2 linked regions of the Drosophila melanogaster genome follow. The protein of the gene in region 1 interacts with the protein of each later gene in a pairwise test. Each region holds a gene or a part of one and is shown in the gene's direction. Other genes may lie near its edges.

Region 1 (7,516 bases):
TGTTGCAGTATAACAATCTGTGAGGACACCGCCTCAGGTGGATGCGGTAAAGCCGGGCACCAGCAAACAACCACGGGTCGTCTATAATAGAGTTCATGAAAATACTTTAATTTTTATGGCAGATTCCCAGCTTCACCACTCACTTGCATTTCTCGCACTTGTTGCGTCTGTTGGGCGGATCGGCGCTGATGCCCACGAGGTCCAGCCACGCGTCATCCTCCATACTTATAATTGATTAAATTAGAAAAATGCTAAGTTTATATTCCGCACGATAAGAAATCCGTAAGCAACAATTCGCAACTAGGTGGCAACGCACACAGCCACATGGCAAATATGACCGCCCTGTCTTCGAATCAGCTGTTTGGAGTGCAGTGAAATTGCGATTATGCGATGACAGAATCTTGAATTCCTTTAATCTATACACCAAGGAATCAAAATAAATATTAATTTATTAATACGTCAAGAAACTAAAATCGTAAAAATAATACGAAAGTGCCTAGTTTTTAAAGTTAAAGTTAATATAGAATCTTACAAATATGGTTAAAAATCACCGAACTTCATAAATTCGTTCCAGTATAAACATTCCACTTCAGCTTTGTGTTTTCTATTTAGATTTTGTATGTGAATTGAACTAGTTGTTAAGCTTAAAGTTGTGAAGTACATAGCATAATTTAAGAAAAATGCAGAGTATAGGATGGACGCTGATCATGAAACGCGGCTGCCTCTTTAGTTGCCGCAAGGAGACCCTGAACATAAACGGATCTCGATACACAATCCGCGAAAGGCTGGCGACGGGGTTTGTACCACATTTTTCCCACTATCTCCTCTGATATATCTAATCTGAGTGTTTAAACAGGGGCTTCAGTCTAATCGACCTTGGGGAAAACGCCTCCACGCGACGTAGCTATGCGATAAAGCGCATCACCTGCCACAGCATCGATGATCAGAATATAGCTCTGCGAGAAATCGAAAACTGTCGAAAAATTGACTCGGAAAACGTGATCCGGGTAGTGGATTACGAGCTGAAGGGCCAGGCGGACATAGTTATAAACACAACGAGCACCTTGTTCATTGTGCTTCCCTATTACAAGCACGGATCTCTTGCGGACCACCTTCAGCTGCGATCGCGGAAACAGGACCACATGCCCGAGGCCCAGATCCTGCAAATCTTTCTGGGCGTCTGCGAGGGATTGAAGGCCATCCACGAGGCAATGCCGGTGCCTCTGGCCCACCGAGATCTAAAAACGGCCAACATCTGCCTGTCGGACTCTTTTGAGCCAATTATTGTGGATCTCGGGTCAATGACAGAAGCCCGACTGCAGATTGTGGGCCAGACGGATGCTCAGCGCTTGCAGGACGAAGCCGAGGAGAGGAGCTCCATTGTCTACCGGGCTCCAGAGTTATTTACCGTGAAAACATATTGCACAATTGACGAGCGCACTGACATATGGGTAAAGCAGATCCAAGAGAGCGTTATTGAAGTTCTTCCTTAACATTTCCCTCTTTCAGAGTCTTGGCTGTGTGCTCTATGCAATGTGCTACTTTAATTCACCCTACGATCCCATCTACGAGCGAGGTGACAGCGTGGCTTTGGCTGTGCTCAGTGGGAACATAAACATTCCAGAGGATTCAATTTACACAGAGGTAATAAACCTTTTTTTTATATTGTAAAGGAAACTAATTCCAAATATTTGTCTAGGACATGCACGAATTAATTAAGTACATGCTGCGAACAGATCCAATGGAACGGCCATTCGTGTTTAGTGTTATCGAAAGGACCCACGATCTGATACAGAAACTGGAGGGTCGCTTGTAGCTCCCACTAACTGGATTACAACTCATTTATAGACATTCCTCCAAACCAGATACACCGCTTACTGTTTTTTGACTACTTATTGTAAAATATTTTAAACCTGCTGATTTTATGAAATTATGTGTAAGCAATCAAGCTAGTTTTTTTATTTTATTTTATTGATTGGAGCTAGTGTTCGTCACGAGTGAGTCCTGGACAGTTGGAGCCCAGATCTTCGGCGTCATCGTAATGGGTCCCACACCAATAGCAGAAGCAATAGGCTGTGCGCAGGTAGCCAGTGAGGAGTTCTAATTGCTCCGAGGGACTGTATGGTTCTTGCTTAGGTGGCACCTCGACTTCAGGATCGTCGGCGTCGCTCTGTGATTCATCTTCATCTTTTGGTTTAGGTGGCCAAAAGAAATCGAGATCTGGTTCTGTGATAGCGGACTTAAGATCCAACGATTCGCAGGTCTGCTGGCACCGTTTTATGTCATACTGTAATTTTCGCTCCTCCGCTTTATGGGTCGCGCGCCTCCTATAAGCCTCTGTACTGACTTCCTCGTCGCTTTTAATGCCGGCCTTGTTTAGGAGATGTGCCCTCCGCAACTTCTGCCGCTTGAGGGCCAACTCTGCAACGGCTGCCTCGCGCCCAAGTCCTCCACGACCGCTCTTTATAGTTATCCCCACGGGTTCAGTACGAGCATCCGAAGTTATGCCCAACCCAGAACCGGCTTTGTAGCCCATCTTGGCCAGTAGCTGGAATCCTTTGTTGTCGGCGGAAATTGGTTTGTTGAGGGACTGTTGAAGGCGAACATTGTCTACGTTCCCGGAAGAAGCTGCTGTCTCCCGTTGGCGCTTCTTCAGCTCATCTTTCTTGGACTCGACTTCAATCTGCCGCTTTCTGCCGCGATTGTGCACCAAACTCGGTCGGACATCTTGCAGACTAATGAGGGAAGGATGAGAGTTTTTCATAAGGTGGTTGGTTGTTAGTTAGGTGTGAGTGTAATCTCACCCAACCAGGAATTTGTCGGACATATAATCCTCCTCCTCGTCAGACATCTGTTTGTTTTGTTTACACTTCTCACTTAAGTGTGACCATTGCATAGTTATCTACAGCATTATTTCGATAATTTATAATAACAATGATATCTCTGCTATGAAGATTGAGTTCCGAAAATTGTATTTTATAGTATTGGTTCTGTTTAGTGATAAAAAAAACAGCCAGTTTGTGTCATTTACTTATTTCTTCAAAAACAAAGTATTTTAAGTAAGCGCATGTAAGATACTAAACAAAATACTATCCGCTTCTGAGCAGCTGTTGCGCTCCGCTGACGAGTGGACAGTTCCGTTGGCGTTCCATGTGCTCGTCCCATTCAGAAGGCAACATTTGTGAAAATTAACTATTAGTTGACTAAAACGGGTGCAATGGGAACTGTAAGTGGAAAGTAAAATTATTTAATGCTTATTCTAATCCAAATCATTGTAGAAAAAGGTCAAAATCAGCTCGGTCAAGCGGGCTGCTCACCTGAAGTCGAAAAAAACACCGCTTTCTAAGCAGCAGCAACAAAAACAGAAGCAAAAGCGCGACCAACTGAAATCGAAGCGCGAACAGGGTCAGAATATATTCTCCCAAAAGGCGAGAAAGCGGGACAACTTAGCACAGCGTAAAAAGCACAACAAATTGGCCTCCCTGGGCTTGGATCCGCTCGAGGAAGACAACGAGGATGGCGACGATGAGATGCTTGAAAACGTTGCGGACATGCTGGATGGCGATGATCTTGCCCTGCTCCAGGCTAACAAACGCAAGCGAAAGGCCAAGACGACCGGCGAGAATGATCCTGACCAAGGACAATCCATCGGCTTGGAAAGGGCCTATGCCTCTGACACGAAAAAAGAGCAGGACGCGCAAAAAATAAAGTTGGATTTGCTGCCAATCAAGTCCAGGGATGGTCAGATTATCACCCGTACGACAGAGGTGGATTACATACCTAAGCCCAAGCAGAAAAAGAAGAATGAAGAAGAAGAGGAGGATGATTCCGAGGAAGACGGTGATACGGAGTATGAGGACAGCGATGACGATGTGGTCAATGATGTCGAGGCCGCCACCGCCGCTCCCGTCCAAAAACTTATCTCTACCACGGATCTACTTATTGCCCGGCAGCAGGAGATCGAACGCCAGAAGTATCGCATTGGAATCATTTGTTCCGGGCTGCTCGAAAAGCCAGAGGATAAGATGCGCAACTTTCATGCTCTGTACGAACTCATGGACGAAATCAACCCAGCCAGTCGACAGGCCAACCTAATGGCCGTCAGAAAGCTGGCCATAATCTCTGTCACCGAGATATTCAAAGATATCTTGCCCGAGTATCGAGTGGGTCAGGTCGACACCAAGATGCAGACGCTTCGCAAGGCCACTCTTGATCGTGTAACCTTTGAAAACGCCTTGCTTCAACAGTTTAAAAAGTTCCTGCAGAAACTGGAACAGATCACAGCGCAAGTTAACAGGAGAGGTGGTCTAAGGACGCCTCAGACTGTGAAGTTGGCCACCGTGGCAGTACAGTGCATGTGTGACTTGCTTGTGGCACATCCATACTTTAACTACGTTCAAAACATTGCCCAGCTTCTGGTGTATATGCTGAATTGCAATTATGCAGAGATGCGAACGGCGGTCCATCAGTGCTTCCGCACAGTCTTTTCCAACGACAAACGGTTAGAAATGACTCTTTTTATAGTGCGACGCATCAATCACTTGATCAAAACGAAGCAGAACAATGTTCATGTGGAGTGCATCACCTGTCTGATGGGCCTTAAAATCAAGAACGTAAACCTAGATGCCGAAAAGGAGAATGAGCTAAAGCAAAAGAAGCTTGAGTCGCATCGTCAACGCTTACTAAGCTTGTCCAAGAAAGAGCGCAAAAGACGTAAGAAGCTCACCGAGGTTAACAGAGAACTAGAGGAAACCCGTGCCGAGGAAAACAAGCAAGCAAAGCATCAGAAGCTCACCGAGATCATAAAGATGGTGTTTACCATTTACTTCCGCGTGCTTAAGAACGATCCCACCTCCCGCGTGCTGAGCGCTATTCTAGAAGGATTGGCAGAGTGAGTGGTTATTGTAAATCTCTTTCCTGGAATTTTAAATATAGAGGATGATTTTTAGGTTTGCGCACGTCATTAATTTGGACTTCTTCTCCGATCTAATCGATGTGCTCAACCGCATTCTAGAGGACCAAGACGAGCTGGGCTACCGGGAGCGATTGCACTGTGTTCAGACCATATTCGTTATCCTTTCCGGCCAGGGTGAGGTGCTAAACATCGACCCCATCCGATTCTACCAGCACTTTTACCGAAATATGCTGGCGGTGCAGGCAGGCAAAAATCACGATGACTTCGCCATTATTTTGCGAACTTTGGATGAGGTGCTCGTAAAGCGTCGTCGCAATATGAGCCAGCAGCGTCTAATGGCCTTCATGAAACGCTTGCTTACTGGAAGTCTGCATCTGCTCCATAATGGCACCCTGGCCACGCTTGGCACAATAAAACAAACCTTCCAGCTCACTTCTGTGCTTGACAACCTATTGGATACAGACACTACGATAGGCTCTGGTCGTTACGATCCCGAACTGGACGATCCTGAGTACTGTAACGCAGCAAGCACAGCGCTGTATGAGCTTGCGCTTCTGGCACGTCACTATCATCCCACGGTGCGACGGATGGCCGTTCACATTGCTCATGGAGTGCCAGCAACGGGCGAGGGAGCTTTGCCCACGGAAATTGGCAAACTGTATGTAATAAGACGGCAACTACATATGTGACTCTAACAATTATTACTTTCCTTAGTACCTCCCACGAGCTGTTTACGCAATTCGACAGCACTCAGATGGCTTTCAATCCGACAATACCGCTGCCAAAAGCGGGTCAACCAAAACTAAAAAGGGGCAAACACTTATATATTCGCTCGGACTTCAAACAGGAGTACGGAAAACTGCTGCAGCAAGGAAAAGTTTCACAGACGAAGGATAAACAAACCTTACAAATTGATTTTTTCAGTGCACTTCAATAAAGAAAAATTTGAAGATTGAAGTAGAGTTATAATGACTGCGGAATAGTGTGGAAAGAAATGCAATTTTTAAACAATACCCAACTTGTTTCCCAATATTAAACATTCTTCCAAATACGTTCTCAGTTAAAGGAAGAGAATACCAAGTGTGATACCAGGATTTGATTAGCCAGATAATAATCGAACAAATTTGTTGTTAAATCAGAAAGGTGCGAGTTGGTTTTAAAACATGAAACCATTCATTTGCTTAGAACTTCTCTGTAATATATTTCAATTAATGGGATTTTTACAAGTTATTATGTTTGGAGCTCCTAACATTCTATATAGAGGCTAAGTCTAGAGTCACTAAGAGTAGTGTCATATAACCGGGTACAAGTCCCAGGGGTTCGCCAGAATTTTTCATTCGCTACCTATGCATTGGTGCCTCCTCGTTGTCGCTGTTGTCCAACGCTAGCTGGTGGCAGATACTCTCTATTCCCGCCCGACTGCTGTTGCCCGAATCCAGCCACTGAACTCTCGGGAAGAGCTCCGGCGGCAGTGGCCAGAAGCCCGACAGCAGCTCCCGATGGCGGTAATCGATTGGCTCCAGTGCTCGGGACAATGGCGGGACGAAGGACAGCCCCAGCGCCATACGGGCTTTGGGGCTGAGCGGTTGGGGTGGGCGTGGCTGAAGGATAGGACCCCCGGCCGGAGTTATATCCAGCAACCTGAGACACTCCGGTGGCTCGAAGTGTTCCAGTCGTGGCCAGAGGTGCCCCGAAGGCAGCCGAGGAAGAAGCGGCCGGACGGTAGACGTTGTTGGTATTCGATGTTCTCAGATTGGAGCCACTTCTCTCGGAGTAATCATAGATATAGGCATTGTTCGCATATAAGCTGGGCGCCGAAACGCAGTCGTACTGGTTCCACCACACACAGACTAATGTCTCCTGGCTGAAGACTGTGCCATTGGGACACAGGAAGGAGTAGGTCCGGTTGAGGGCACAGATATGGAACACCTGGCATTGGGCCTCTATGTCCGCATAATAGCCGGGTAGGGGCTGTTGCGCACAGTCAAAGTTGGTGCGCGGCACCTGGGCATAAATAGGATAATCCACTCCAGGAACACCCGGAATGGCCGAGTAGTCTCCATCGGAATCGTTGTAGTCCCCGCTGTCTCCCGTTCCACTAGCAACTCGGATTGGAGATCCACCGGGAGTACCTCCATACTGCGAAGCCTGCGGTCCATAGGGTCCACTGCGAGATGATGGGGTAGATAATCCGCCAGATGAAGTTCTTCTCGGTGGGTTAACGGGGTTTGTGGCTCCTACAATGGCGGGTGCTCCAAAAGCAGTGGTAGCCTGTCCACTTGGCGTAAATCCAACAGCGGGTGAGGGAAACAAGCCTGCTCCATATGCAGTAGGAGCCGGAGCGGGAGTAAGTGGCAGGGCTGGTGCTGTTGGATATGGTGCAGGTGTCAAGCGACCACCAGCTGTGGCTCCTCCTACATTGGCTACCTCGGGACGCCCATAGTTGTATCCACTTTGAGCCTATAAAAGCGCGGATTACAGTTAAGAAAAGAGAATCTCCTTATAGCTTACCTGGACTTGCAACTGGGCTAATCCGCCACTCCAGAGCAACACCAAAACTGGAATAAAGAGACGGGCCAACATTAACGCTTTCTAACCGTC
Region 2 (6,276 bases), 2.8 Mb from region 1:
AGATTCCGCATCTCGCCCAAGTCCAAGGAGAAGTCAAAGGTCAGTGATTGTACCAAATATATAATTGTAATGTGGTTTTAGTCGGTGTTGGTGTAACCAAGTGTTGTCTGCCTCATGGAGATTGGCTAGTCCAAGCTATCGATTCACACGACCTCATCTAGCATATAAGTTATATTAACTGCCGAGGACTCGATGTCTGGTGTAATAAGTGTGCCATTTATAACATATGAAATTCTTTTAATCATTTTGCAGTCTTGCTTTGATCTGAGGAATTTCGGTTTTGGTGTAAGGACTTTTAACTATTCTAAACTCTATTTACCACACACTTTCGAGTTTTCCAAATTTCTTACACTCTCAACAGCTTAGTCTTATTATTTGGCATCCGTTACATTTGGTTTATTTTTTATCTAATCGCACATTTCTTCATCTGAGTGGGCTTTTTGTCTGTTTGCTGTCCTATTAACACAATAAAGTTGCCACAATTTTCTTATGATTTCTTTTCATTTACTTTATTTTTTGTTTTCTTTTACCCTTTGCAGCAAAAGTAATCTAAGTCTTAACATTTAAGATTGACTGCTGAATTATTTCTTTTGCCTCAAAAATAACATATATGTTTTCTTAGTTTAATATCTATTAGGAGCGCATGGGTTTCAGGGAAACCTTACGGACATAAGGATATTCAGTTGTGTGTTTTAAACTTTAAGTGTTTATGGCTTAAGTACTTGGCAGCTTTTTGTTTAATGGGAATTAGTTTAAGAAGTGTTATTTATGATTTAAGCATAATGGATATTTTGCATGATTGGTTTCCCTGGATTCCCGGTTATGGTAATCAATAAAAGTTATGTGTTAAGTTTTTTGCCTTTGGACATTTTGCACGTTACATGTACTATATTTTAGTAAATAACAAGCTGTTTCTAATAAGATTTTGAATATTGTTTATTTTTCCATACGTTTTTCTCGACCTCTTTTTTTCCTCCTCTGAAAAACACTCAATCATTTAAACCGATATATATTCTGATACCTCCTAACGCCATGCTATACTAGGACAAGGATATGCTGGTCTGCAATGCAGCATCTCCAGCAGGAGCCACATCCGCATCACAGAAAAATCACTCGCAAGAGTATCTGAACACCACGAACAACAGTCGCTATCGAAAGCAAACGAACACTGCGAAACCGAAACCCGAATCGTTCTCTTCATCCAGTCCGCAGCTCTATATACACAAGCCCCACCACCTGGCCGCAGCTCATCCCAGTGCCCTGGACGACCAGACACCACCACCCATACCGCCTCTTCCACTGAATTATCAGAGATCCGATGGTTTGTTCTTCTCATTCTATGTCTGCATATACCGTCCACCCATTTTTCCTGTCCCGACCCACTGAATATTCATACAAGCGGAAACGTTACGGCCTGATTTGATCCCCTTTCCTATTTCCCAGATGAGAGCTACGCTAACGAGACACGAGAGCATAAGAAGCAACGTGCCATATCGAAGGCTTCACGACAAGCTGAGCTCAAGCGATTGCGAATCGCTCAAGAGATTCAGCGGGAACAGGAGGAGATCGAGGTGCAACTGAAGGATCTGGAGGCACGCGGCGTGCTTATTGAGAAGGCCTTGCGAGGCGAGGCGCAGAATATTGAAAAGTGAGTGCTAGGATCTGGCTATATCCTTGAATACCCATTAAATGAAATCTCTTCTACAGCCTGGATGCGACAAAGGACAACGACGAGAAGCTACTTAAGGAACTTTTGGAGATTTGGCGCAACATCACAGCACTCAAGTATGCTAATCAATGAAGCTCTATAATAAACAAATCTAATGTAATTTTGTTTTTAGGAAACGCGATGAGGAACTGACTATAAGGCAACAGGAACTGCAACTGGAGTATCGGCATGCCCAGCTGAAGGAAGAGCTCAATCTGCGCTTGTCCTGCAACAGTGAGTGTTATAGTTTCCTCTCAAAACTTTGATATAATATTTAATTCCATCATTGCAGAACTGGACAAAAGCTCTGCCGATGTGGCCGCCGAGGGAGCAATTCTCAACGAGATGCTGGAAATTGTCGCCAAGCGAGCCGCCCTACGACCCACAGCCTCCCAGCTCGACCTCACGGCAGCGGGATCAGCATCCACGTCCGCCGAGGCAACGGGCATTAAGCTGACGGGACAACCGCATGACCACGAAGAATCGATCGTGAGTAAATAGGACCTATATGTTTAAATTTGAAATTGACAACACCACTTGTTTCAGATTTGAATAGCCAACTTTCCCTGGAGATTGCTGGTCTGCGAAGTGGTGCATGGACTGTTGAGCCTAAATACTTAAGATGAAACAAGGGAACAGGGGAGAGCGTACCAAAAAGGCAGCTGAATATACAGAATTAACAATACTAAAACCCGTGAGCTGTAACCGAAACGAGCAACTAACTATTCAAAGTGGATAAGCTGGCTAAGAACAATTTCAATATTTATATAAGTAGAGAGCCTAACTAATATGGGAGAAGCGCGCAAGGTTAATGTAAAAACAGGCAGAGATGAAATCAAAACCAAAAAACTAATTTCGCAATTTAAAAGTAGGGATTACGAATGTTTTTGCGAATACCTTTAGTTTCGTATTCGACCTAATTGTACGTTTTGTTAGTCGTTGCCACTGAAATCTGTCTGATTTTTGTATGTCCTATGCAATATGTTGTGTTTTTATTTAATGTAATGTAGTGAGCGTGTGCAAAGGGTATGTGATTTTGAGCAAATGTAAATGGTGTATTTGAGTTTTCTTAGGTTATTTTCACTTAGCGATTGTTTGTCGATTTCTATGTAAACCGTTTGAGTGTATTATTATTTATTTGACAAAGCACCTTCCGCACATCCTCCCGATCAGCACACCCATGTATGTATTATGTCATTTGCCCCCAATCGAAATCAAAGTGAACACAAAGAGATGCACACAAATATTTTCTAAATGCGAGAGCCTACACATAGCGATGTAAGCGAGAAAGCAACCATTAACTGTATACTAACGAAATCATTTAAATTATTGCGTAACTTTATTTATAACCTGCATATATAAAAACATATTTATCGAATTTATTATGTAACTTTTCGATTTATTTTGAATTGAATAAAGATTTTATGAAACCTAAGGACGATTTTATAGTTCTACTTTATCGTGAAGTTTTCCTTAAATGTCCTTAAAGAAATGTTCTTTAATGGGGAAATTCCGCCATCGACGCTAACTTGACGCACATAAAATATTGGCGCGTATTATAAATTTAAATTATCCAGAAAATGAAAGAGGTGCCACACTTCGTTGTTATAAAGTGGCCACACCAAATAAGTTCGGTTATTCGTGGTGACTGACAATTAGGGATTGGCGGGAAAGCCATTTTACCATCTGGTAACACTAGCAATAAGTAAACAAACATAGCAACCAAGATTTTCTTGGTGCTTTCTTAAACACTTTGAAAGGGAATTACGCTGAATTTGACAAAAGATGGCTGACAAACAGTCCACTGAGGAAACAACCAAATCCGTCCAGACTTTAACAGTGCCCAACCCAGCGGATAGGAAGTCGGAAAAGTCGGCGTCAGGAAGTCTGCACTCCGGCTCAGCCGATGGTTTGGAAAATCAAGAAAAGTCGGAAAAGCCCGGCGACCAGCCCACCGCCTATAGCATGCGACCGGCCTTTGGGGAGATGTTTCCCCTGCCCACCATCAAGAGCATAATGAACAACGTTATGGCCGAGAAACTCAAAGGTTAGTGTGAAAATCCATAAATATACTGCGCGTTGCCTAGCAACTTCACTATTTGAAGACAAAACCTATGACAAGGACGTCGCCAAGAAGTGGACCAGTGAGATCGCCGACGAGGTGAACCAGCAGATAGCCAGCAGCTCCCTGGTGAAGCGGTACAAGCACGTGGTCCAGGTGATGCTAGGCCAGGAGCTGGGTGCGGGGGCCACTTACAACTCGCGCTGCTGCTGGGATTGCGACTGCGACACTTCCGTCTCCGAGGTCTTCAGCAACACCAGTCTCTTTTGCGTCTGTACAGTGTTTGGAACGTATCAGTACTAAAACCGATTTCCCACAGAACTAGTTAGACTAAGGATTATACTTTAATGGGGTGAGCTTACATTAAATGGGTTGTCACGAGATGTGTTTTCTAAAAATATTATATAGATAAAATATTCAACAAATGTTGTTTAATTTAATGATAATTTTAAGTATGAAGTTTCTTTACTTCCATTCAAATTTCATCTGCCCAGAGTCTCGTGACACCCCCGTATATTTACATTTTAATCTAAGCAATGCTAACATCTCGTATTAGTAGGCACCGGGAACAAAGGGTTCATCACTTTCGATAGTCGACCTTCGTCGTGCTTCATTGGATGCGTACGTTCAGCGGATTCAGTATGCGGCCCGACATCACAGCCACGTCCAAGTCGCGATCGACGATGAAAAACAGAAACGGATGATTCACAGAGATCTGAATGGGCTTCGATTGGGCGCCGTAGTTGCCTAGAGAGTAAAAGGAAGTGTTTATTGCACTTTGTCTCGTGTTGCAGAGGCTGCAACTGTTGCAACACCATTAGGTTGGGCATTCGCAATGCGTTGCGGCTCAATGCCTCCACTCCATTCCATTCAGGTGTGCTGCAATGCGAGACACTTACGCTTCAGCTGATTGATGGGATGCGTACGGATGGTGACGTCTATGGATTGCTCAATGTGTCGCACGTAGACGCCCTTCTCCTCAGTCATGGGCCTGAAATCGGCGCGATTTGGTTCGAATACGTCGCAGCTGCAACGAAAGTAAAATGAAGCCAGGAACTGGAGCTATTACACCCATGCTTACATTCCCATCTGCAACAGAGAGCACAAAAACCAAAGACACCTCAATAAAAACACAAAAATGCACTCTACAAATGAATACATACATTCTGCAAGTCGTTTGTCAAAAACATGGTGCCGTGCAGCTTGAAATCTGGAATGATGGCTTGCACCCAGCGTGGCTTCAACTGCTTCCGCATCAGTCGAAGGGTTGGTCCCAGTTTCAAGGAGGCGGCGGCTGCAACAATATCCGTGTGGTAGTCGGGCAACAGGATCATTAGGTTGTACTCCGGTGTGTCCAATTCCAACTCCAGCACGCTCATCTTCAGGTGCTCAAAGTACTTGTAGTACAGCACTGCGTTATATACCTTGAAGGTGGTGTGCACCACCTGTTGATTGCCCAAGTAGAATACGTGGCTGATCACATCCGTGTTATAGTTGGACTTTCCCTCGGCCGCCTCTCCGATATAGTGTGGCTCAAAATCATTCGTGATGGGTGCAAAGGCAGCGGGCACTGGCGGCGGAAAGTGCAGCGGGTGGTGCGGGACATGCGTGTGCGGATTGAAGAGGGTCAGAAAGAGATTTGCATCCAGATCCTTGTATGCTGGTATCGCATGACGCTTGTATCGTGCTGTCTTCGTCTTGCGAGTCACCGATATGTTTGCTGGTTGCACGGATGGCGCTATAATAGAAATTACTTGCCGTGTTCCTGGTGGCTTTCGCTCCGCCACCTGGCGAGCCATCATTGGCATTGGCATGGCCACTGTTCGCGCACTGGGCAGGTAAATGGGCTTGGGAGTGATTGGATTCGAATGCTTTAGCGGCGCCTGTAGTTTGCTGGTGGGCAATCTGGAGACTCGAGCCTTCTGGATGCGCAAGAGAGGCTCGGAGTCCTCCTCGGCTACAAAAGCGGACACTAACTCGGCTGCTTCATCCTCACCAGCGGGCTCAGCGGCCTCCTCTTCACCCGATGTTGCAGCAGGTGCTTCTGTGGTGGCCTCCGTTTCCGCTGGAGTCTCTGTGGTGGTGGTTGGTGGCTCTGCCGTTGTCGTCGCCGGCGGCTCTGTGGTTGTTGTGGCCGGCTCTTCTGTTGTGCTCTCCGCATCCTTTGACGTTGTGGTTTCCGCATCCATTTCCATGGTCGTCGTATTGCTGGCCATTGTGGTGTTGACCAACTCGGCATCTGATGTGAGATTGGCTGGTGTGGAGGAGAGCATATCTACACTTAAGTCATATCCGTAAAACATAAGAACCGTCTCAAAGTCCTTGAGAACAGTGACATTGCCCTTGTTCAAGCTGAGTCCTTTCAGTGGATTGTCGGAGCCAAAAAAGTAAGTCTGGAAAATAGAATAAAAATCTATAACATTAGATTATCAATCATTATTTAGCATATATGCTGAGTATGTCCTTTATAGAGTCCCAAGTTGTAAAATATATATGTTATTTAGAC

Evidence for each region. The genes of interacting proteins can lie anywhere in the genome.
Region 2: the proteins of Noc3 (region 1) and CG5359 interact in a two-hybrid assay, tested with the Drosophila melanogaster proteins (one large-scale study listed by BioGRID).

The regions. Positions count from the first base shown.
Region 1 is NT_033777.3:7,242,585-7,250,100, reverse strand, and holds Noc3 (nucleolar complex protein 3), read left to right. Parts: upstream 1-3,131; 5' UTR 3,132-3,217; coding exon 3,218-3,226; intron 3,227-3,278; coding exon 3,279-4,891; intron 4,892-4,949; coding exon 4,950-5,573; intron 5,574-5,629; coding exon 5,630-5,852; 3' UTR 5,853-5,869; downstream 5,870-7,516. Other genes in the region: Dtwd2 (DTW domain containing 2), read right to left, coding at 1-81, 144-223; CG1227 (uncharacterized protein), read left to right, coding at 681-796, 857-1,451, 1,510-1,644, 1,700-1,816; CG10053 (uncharacterized protein), read right to left, coding at 1,982-2,735, 2,805-2,851; CG14607 (uncharacterized protein), read right to left, coding at 6,260-7,375, 7,427-7,473.
Region 2 is NT_033777.3:9,998,419-10,004,694, reverse strand, and holds CG5359 (uncharacterized protein), read left to right. Parts: upstream 1-3,418; 5' UTR 3,419-3,493; coding exon 3,494-3,755; intron 3,756-3,813; coding exon 3,814-4,073; 3' UTR 4,074-4,122; exon of another isoform or gene 4,123-4,189; intron 4,190-4,326; 3' UTR 4,327-4,380; coding exon of another isoform or gene 4,381-4,517; 3' UTR 4,518-4,669; coding exon of another isoform or gene 4,670-4,797; 3' UTR 4,798-4,851; coding exon of another isoform or gene 4,852-4,859; 3' UTR 4,860-4,924; downstream 4,925-6,276. Other genes in the region: Mical (molecule interacting with CasL), read left to right, coding at 1-39, 253-285, 1,045-1,321, 1,444-1,648, 1,708-1,785, 1,842-1,942, 2,001-2,197, 2,255-2,260; Spn85F (serpin 85F), read right to left, coding at 4,381-4,517, 4,670-4,797, 4,852-4,859, 4,934-6,163.